Coturnix japonica: one gene and its partner. The protein of the gene in region 1 interacts with the protein of each later gene in a pairwise test. Links are inferred from orthologs where the notes say so. Each region holds a gene or a part of one and is shown on either strand. Other genes may lie near its edges.

What was found. The genes of interacting proteins can lie anywhere in the genome.
Region 2: the proteins of BHLHE40 (region 1) and cytochrome c oxidase subunit 5B, mitochondrial interact in binary tests that used the Homo sapiens proteins (3 or more experiments, as listed by UniProt). The two-hybrid records come from large-scale screens. The link is inferred for Coturnix japonica from reciprocal best matches to the Homo sapiens genes BHLHE40 and COX5B.

The regions. Positions count from the first base shown.
Region 1 is NC_029527.1:15,937,615-15,941,845, reverse strand, and holds the start of BHLHE40 (class E basic helix-loop-helix protein 40), read right to left. Parts: upstream 2,914-4,231; 5' UTR 2,653-2,913; coding exon 2,573-2,652; intron 2,477-2,572; coding exon 2,407-2,476; intron 2,068-2,406; coding exon 1,960-2,067; intron 1,620-1,959; coding exon 1,496-1,619; intron 712-1,495; coding exon 1-711. UniProt on the Homo sapiens protein: Transcriptional repressor involved in the regulation of the circadian rhythm by negatively regulating the activity of the clock genes and clock-controlled genes.
Region 2 is NC_029537.1:873,182-876,492, reverse strand, and holds cytochrome c oxidase subunit 5B, mitochondrial, read right to left. Parts: upstream 1,928-3,311; 5' UTR 1,900-1,927; coding exon 1,806-1,899; intron 1,733-1,805; coding exon 1,659-1,732; intron 1,057-1,658; coding exon 957-1,056; intron 872-956; coding exon 759-871; 3' UTR 618-758; downstream 1-617. UniProt on the Homo sapiens protein: Component of the cytochrome c oxidase, the last enzyme in the mitochondrial electron transport chain which drives oxidative phosphorylation.

The DNA of each region.
Region 1 (4,231 bases):
GCAGTGGGGGGGACAGCTTGTCAGGGCCCACAAAGCCGGTGAGCGCAGCGGTGGGCGTGGGCAGCCCGGGGTACAGCACAGGGACGGAGGCCGGGTACCAGCACTTCTCCAGCATGGGCAGGTAGGCAGTGGCGGATGGTGGGATCAGGTAGAAGGGCAGGCACAAGGGGGGCTGGTGGGCGTGGGGGGGCAGGAAGCCGCCCGCAGTGCCCATCACCTCGTTGCCAAAGGGGCTGTCGTCATCAGGCACCTCCAGCCTGCTCCTCTTGGCCGGAGGGTCCTCGCTCTCTTGCTTGATGGAGCTGATCCTCTCCTGGACGGCGTATTTCAGTTCGGTATCCTTTGGGAAATAGGGCTGCTCCGGTTTGGAGTCGTTTTTCTCCAGCTCCCCCCCATAGCCGCTGTCCGTGTCTGTGTCGCTGCCGCTCTGCTCCCCGCTGGAGGCAGCGAATGTCCTTTGGATGACGGGCACACAGTTCTGCCCGCGCCCCTCGCCCGCTTTGCCCCCCGGCACCGTCTTCTCCTTCAGGTCCTTGGGGCTGCCCGGCAGCAGCTCGGCCGCCACGCGGTGCAGGTGCCCCACCAGCTGCGCTGCCTTCAGCTCCTTGTTGTCGTGCTTGGCCACGTACTGCAGCAGCTCCTTGGCGCACAGCTGGAAGCCAGAGCGGAACATCTCCTGGCTGGAGTCGAGGTTCCTCGCGGACAGGTCACCTGAGGAAACATTAACAGGGAGAAATTAAAAATTAACAGCACGCCAAATACTTCCATCACCACCTCCAGGCTGACAGCACGCGTCCGGTACAACACAGCCAGCACAGCAAACTCAGTGGCCAACCTGAGTTCCCACAACTTATGCGCCAGAATCCAACCTGCTACTTTCACATCCCTCCATTCACTTCTACCCGTGCCCTTCATCTTTCAATTCTGCATTTGGCACTTCCACTGGGGAACAAGCAGACAGTGCATCCCACACCCAGCAGGACCCCTCAATGCCACGCTGTGCCCCCACTGCCAATGGGTCTCCCCTGGTGCTGTCCCTGCAGGGCAGTGGCACCTCGTTGGCCAAGCTCAGTTTGACTTTATCAGAGCCATGTGAATGCCACGTGTGCAAGCAGCAGGAGGAAGCAGAGGGAGCGAGCAGCCACTGTGCTGAGCCCCGTCCACCTGCAGAATGAGGGAACACAGATCTGCACACGGACAGCGGGTGTTTGTGTGCTCTGGGGGAAAAGGAAAGCGCAGAACCAGGATCCAAAGCTCATGAATGGAGAGAGCTGAACGACTTTGGAGAGGGCATCACAGCAAAGCTGCGCTTTAAATAAAACTACTTCAAATCCACTTTAAAATGAAAGCGACCGCACAGCACGCCTGGCTCCGACCCCATGGAGAGCTGCACTTGCTCTGCACAAGCAAAGCGAGAGAAACTGATGGCAATCAAAGGGCAGAGGCTCAGGCATCCCTTCCCCGCGCAGTGTCCCCGCACGCTGCACTCACGCACCTGCCTGCAGCCCGCTCTGCAGCGCCAGGATCTTCTGCTGCTGCTGCTCCGTCAGCGCCGTCAGCGCCTTCAGGTGCTTCAGGGTCAGCTCCAGCACCACCGCCTTCTCCAGGTGACCGAGGGTCTGCGGGCAGAGCACACAACGCGTTGGACGCTGCGGGGGTGGGGGTGGAAATAGGCGCTGGGAGACATTCCCACGGCAAAGGTGGGGGCGATTTGGGGCAGGGACTCGGGGGCAGCGCTGCTAATTGGGGAAGGCACAAGTCGTGCTTCCTGTGAACAGAAATATCCGGAATTTGGACGGAACACACAGAGAGCAGCCGCGGGGCAGCCCCCGGCCCCACATCCCGGGGGTATTTGGGGACGCCCAACCCCGAGCACAGCTCCGTGCCTCGGCGCTGCTGCCCCCGCCGGCATCGCGCGCTCAACGCAGGGCCGGGCCCGGAGCCCCGTTGTGCCCGTACCGTCAGCTTGAGGTGCTCGGGCAGCAGGTCCTTGAGCTGGGCGATGCACTCGTTGATCCTGTCGCGGCGCTTCTTCTCTATCAGCCTGTGGGGCAGCTTGTAGGTATCCTGTAAGGAGCGGCGGGTCAGCGCTCCGCACCCACCCTCCGTCTTTTTGCCTTCTTTCCTTTTTTTCCCCCTTCCCAAATAATCGCTAAACCCACCACGCATTCCACCCTCTGTTCTTTTTTCCTTTTCCTTTTGCTTTCCCCCCCCCTCCCCACCCAAATACTCACGCACCCCCTCCGCCCCCCACCCCGCAGCATTTCTTTTTTATTTCCCCCAGAATTACCCAGTGGAGGCCCCTTCCCCCCTTCCCGCATCACCCCACAGAAGCTCAGCTCTCTTTCTCACTCCCCCCCATCCCAACGATCGCTGACCCCCGCCCCGCACCGCCCACCCCGTTACCTTGCTGTCCTCGCTCCTCTTTAACCCCCTCCTGGGCTTGTACACTTGGTACATGTGCGCGAAGTCCAGCCTGCACGGGCGAAACGAAAGCAGCGAGGTTACCCCTGTCCCCGGGGCCGCGGCGGGGGGACGCTCTCGTGTCGTCCTGTCCCCCCCGCAGCCTTACCCCGGCACATCGGCGCTCTCCAGGGCGGGCAGTTTGCCCAGGCACACGGGCGGGGGCTGCGCGCTGGGGATGCGCTCCATGGGGGCGCGGAGCGGAGCGGTGCCGCGGGAGCCGGGAGGAGCGGAGCGGTGCGGTGCGGTGCGGAGCTCAGCGCGGGCAGCTCATGCCGCGTCCCCGCCTCGCCGGCTGAGGAGCGGAGGGAGGCGGAGGGCCGGGTTAAATGCGGCCGAGTGGGTGGACGGCGGCGACGTGCGTTACCCTGTGACTCCCGGCACGTCTGGCCGGGCTCCCCCCCCCGCTCCCTCCCTCCCTCCATCGCCGTCACATGAGGCTCACGTGTCGGCGAGCGGCGGCCTTCCTCCCCCCGCCCGCTCCGCCGTGCAACGTGCCGGGGGGGGGTGGAGGCGGGGCGGCCGGTCCGTGGCCCCGGGTGGCCCCGACCCCGGTTGCTTCCCGGCCGCCCCTCGGGCTCTGCCCCGCCGTCCCGCAGCGGAGCGGGGCAGGAGCTCGGCACCCGACTCCCGTTCTTCAACACTCCCGCGGCGCGTCGGTAATCCCCGCTGCCGGAGCCCTTTGGCTGCTCCCTTCTCTCCGAGCCGTCCCGAGGCTCGGGGTTTACTCATGACCTTAAGGGATGTTGCCAAGGATTTTGGAGTCCCCCTAAAAAGAGGATCCGAGTGGAGCGATGGCATTCCTGGGCGGCAAGTGGGATGGCGGAGAGTTGGGTTACATTGTCCTCCCTATGATCAGCTTTCATAAGCTGGGGCTGATGCAATCAGCAATTTGTCTCCGAGATTTTGTTTGCTGAATTATTTCTGCGCAGAAATGCATACATACAGGGCGTACAGAATGCAGCAAAGAGGCCAAATTTCCTGCAGTCACGGGTCTGAGGTGCTGTCCCAGGAGAGGAGCAGACAGTGCCCAGCAGTGATCTGCACTTATCTACAGACCCCCCAGAAGCCAAGGGCTCGCAGTTCGGGCTCAAGTTGTACTGAGGGCTCGGAGATGGTGATTTGGGGCAAAACACTGTGAAATCCCAACAGCAGCATCGGATAGAGCCCGTGTGGGCAGCTCGGAGTTAGCAGCTGGGCTGCGGCTTCAGCCTCACGATAAGGTTACTGCGGGTGGTTTTGTTTTAAAATGTCCCTTACTTAATATATCCACGAAGGCCAGGCATGTGCCTGTGGCCTGGAATCAGATAGCTGACTCCTCTGCTCTCTCATTTCCAGCAATCTCGTTTTGGGTTACCAGCACCGGAGGTTAAAGGACGGCCGCAGGCGAAGGTTATGCAGGGCAGCAGCGCTTCGGCTCGGCACCCAGCGGGCACCCGATGGGCATCCCCAGAGCCCTCCTACTGAACACACCCCCACCCTCCCAGCAGCCTGCAGGTGGTGACCAAAGCTCGGACTGAGCCTTGAAAACACACTGCCCAGAGCTGTGGTGCCCCATCCCTGGAGGTGCCCAAGACCATGGGTGGGCCCTGGGCAGCTTGAGCTGGGGGGCAGCCAGCCTGTGGCAGGGGTGGGGGCTGGGTGACCTGTATGGTTCCATCCAACCCAACCATTGCATTAATCTGTGATGGTGTCGGGGTACCCATTGGGAAAAGCAGTGAGAGCCAATGGCACTGAGGGTCTGCTATGAGCAGGGTGCTGGCACTGC
Region 2 (3,311 bases), on another chromosome or scaffold:
CGTGACGTCAACGGTGGTTTTGACGTCATCAGTCCCTACGGCTCCATGCTGCGGGATGGGGCGGCTGAGGCCAGCCCCATAGACAGGGATACAGTGGGTCCCACCTGGGTGCCAGCTCTACACAGCACACAGCCGTGGGATGGGGGCTGCCCTGTGGGTACAGCAATGGGGGGCACCCGGGGGGGCTCAGAAAGGGGGGGATGGGTCCCAACACACAGCGCCCACCAAGGGAGGGGCCACAACGCAGCCCCTGTCTGTGCCCAGCCACAGCTATGGGGACAGTGAGAAGGATGGGGGGGATGGGGACCCCAATGGAACCCCATTGTGTGTCTGTGGGGCGGGATGGGGACCCCAATACAACCCCATTGTGTGTCTGTGGGGTGGGATGGGGACCCCAATACAACCCCATTGTGTGTCTGTGGGGCAGGATGGGCACCCAACACAACCCCATCATGTGCCTGATCATCCTGCCCACCCCCATGGGGCGTTCCTTAACAGCCCCAACCCACAGGGAGCCCCCATGGGGAGGGGTTACCCCCCATCACCCCACACTCAGCCTCCCCCGATCCCCCCCCACCCCATTGCCGCCCCCCAACACACACACACAGCACGCAGTGTTTCCACACTCAATTCTTTTTCTCTATAAGTTGGGGGGGGACACAGCAGAACGAGCTGCAGTGGCTCAGCTTCCAAACACCAGACGGCTGCTGGGGGGGGTCTCACAGCCCAGGACCCCACTGGGGGGGCTCCCTGTGGGCTCAGTGTGGCAGCTCGTGGGGGATGAGTTTGTAGTGGGAGCCGCAGGACGGGCAGCGCTGCGCCTCCCCCTTGTGCAGCCAGAACCAGATGACGCAGCTGTTGTCCTCTTCACCTGAGGAGAGAGAACAGGGGGTGGGAGGGAGATAAAGTGGGGGGGGGAGATAAGGGGCCATATGGGGCCACATGGGGCCACTCACAGACGCAGCCCACGATGCGTTTATTGGTGATGGACGGCACAAGGTTGGGATCCTCCTTGGTGCCCGCGTAGCGCTTCGGCCGGAACATGCTCCAGGGGTCCTGGGGAGGGAGGGGTCAGAGGGAGGCCCACCCCAACAACGGCAGCCACATCCCATCCCATCCCCATCCCAACTCATCCCATAATACCCTCCATCCATCCCATAATACCCCCCATCCATCCCATAATATCCTCCCATCCATCCCATCCACCCCATAACATCCAATCCCATCCATCCCATAATATCCCATCCCATCCCATCCTATCCATCCCATCCCATCCCCATCCATCCCATAATATCCCATCCCATCCCATCCCATCCCATCCCATAATATCCCATCCCATCCCATAATATCCCATCCCATCCCATCCATCCCATCCCATAGTATCCCATAGTATCCCATAGTATCCCATAGTATCCCATTGTATCCCATAGTATCCCATAGTATCCCATTGTATCCCATAGTATCCCATCCCATATATCCCATCCATCCCATATACCCCATCCATCCATCCCATAATATCCCATCTATCCCATAATATCCCATCCCATACATCCCATCCCCATCTCCATCCCATCCCATATACCCCATATACCCCATATACCCCATATACCCCATATACCCCATATACCCCATATACCCCATATACCCCATACACTCACCAGTCCTTTATTCATCGCCTCCATCACTTTCCGCTCCAGTCCCGTCGCCTGCTCCTCATCCGTGGCCAGGTCACCTGCGGGGCAGACGCTCAGTGCCTCCATCCATCCATCCCATCCCATCCCATCCCCATCCCGTCCCGTCCTTACCGGGCGCTGCATAGTGCCGGCTGATCACGCTCCTCCCGGTGGCGGCGGGCAGAAGCCGCAGCGCCGCGCCCACCCGCAGTAACCTTGACGCCATGGCGGCACTCAGCACTTCCGGAGATGGAGGAGGAAGCGGAAGTTGCGAGCCGGAAGCGGAAGTTTAAAACCGGAAGGGCGGGGCCTCAAAGGGCGGGTTGGGGGGGGATGCGGCCCTTAGCAACGGGGGGATGGAGATACGGCCATAGCAACGGGGCCTGCACCAGCGGCCACGCCGGGCCCATAAGGCGGCGGTGCCAAACCCCGCTGATCCGAGCCGCATTAATGCGGCCCTTCGTTAATATTGCAGTACAGATCGATGGCTGCGGGGGGAGGGGGGTTAATTAATATGGGGGGGTTAATTAACTGCAGGGGGGGGATTAATGGACATAGGGTGAAATGGAGATTGATTTGGGGTGTGATGAGTGGGGATAGGGGGGAAAATGGGGGAAATAGGGGGAAAATGGGGGAAATGGAGCAGAAAATGGTAGAAAAATGGAGGAAAAGGGGCAGAAATGGTAGAAAAATGGAGGAAATAAAAGGAAATGGGGGAAAAGGGGCAAAATTGGGGGAAAATAGGGGGAAATGGGGGGAAATGGGGGAAAAGGGGCAGAAAATGGGGAAATATTGGATATAAGTGGGAAATATGGGGGTAAATGGAAAATACTGGGATATAAATGGGAAATATTGAATGTAAATGGGAAACATTGGGGTATAACTGAGATATCTTGGGGTATAGGTGAGAAATATGGGATATATATGGGATATAATGGGGTATAATGGGATATACTGGGATATAATGGGATATATGGGATATAATGGGATATAATGGGATATAATGGGATATAATGGGGTATAATGGGATATACTGGGATATAATGGGATATACTGGGGTATAAGTGGGAAATACGGGATATAAATGGGAAATATTGAATGTAAATGGGAAATGCTGGGTTATAAGTGGGAAATATTGGGATATAAATAGGAAATATTGGGATATAAATAGGAAATATTGGGGTATGAGAGGGAAATATTGGATGTAAATGGGAAATATTGGGATATAAGTGGGAAATATGGGGATATAAGTGAGAAAATGCTGAAGAAGAAGAAGAAATATGGGGGAAGGAGAGAGAATATGGAGGAAAAAGAGAAAATGAAGAGGAAAGAATAGGAAGTATTGGAAAAGAAGGGAAAATATGGGGGAAGAAGAGAAACTATTGGAGGGGAAGAGAAAGTTTGGAGAGGAAAAGAGGCAATTTAGGGGAAAAAGAGGAAAATATTGGGGAAGAAAAGGGAAAATATGGGAGGAGGAGAGGAAAATATGGGAGAAATAAAGGGGATGTGGAGGAGAAGAGAGGGAAGATGGAGGCAGCAATGTGGGCGCGTGCCAAGGGAGGAGGGCAGGGGGTGGTAAAGGGGGGGGGGCAGGGGCGGCCCCATATCCCCAATCAGCTGGAGCTGCCCCCGCTGCCC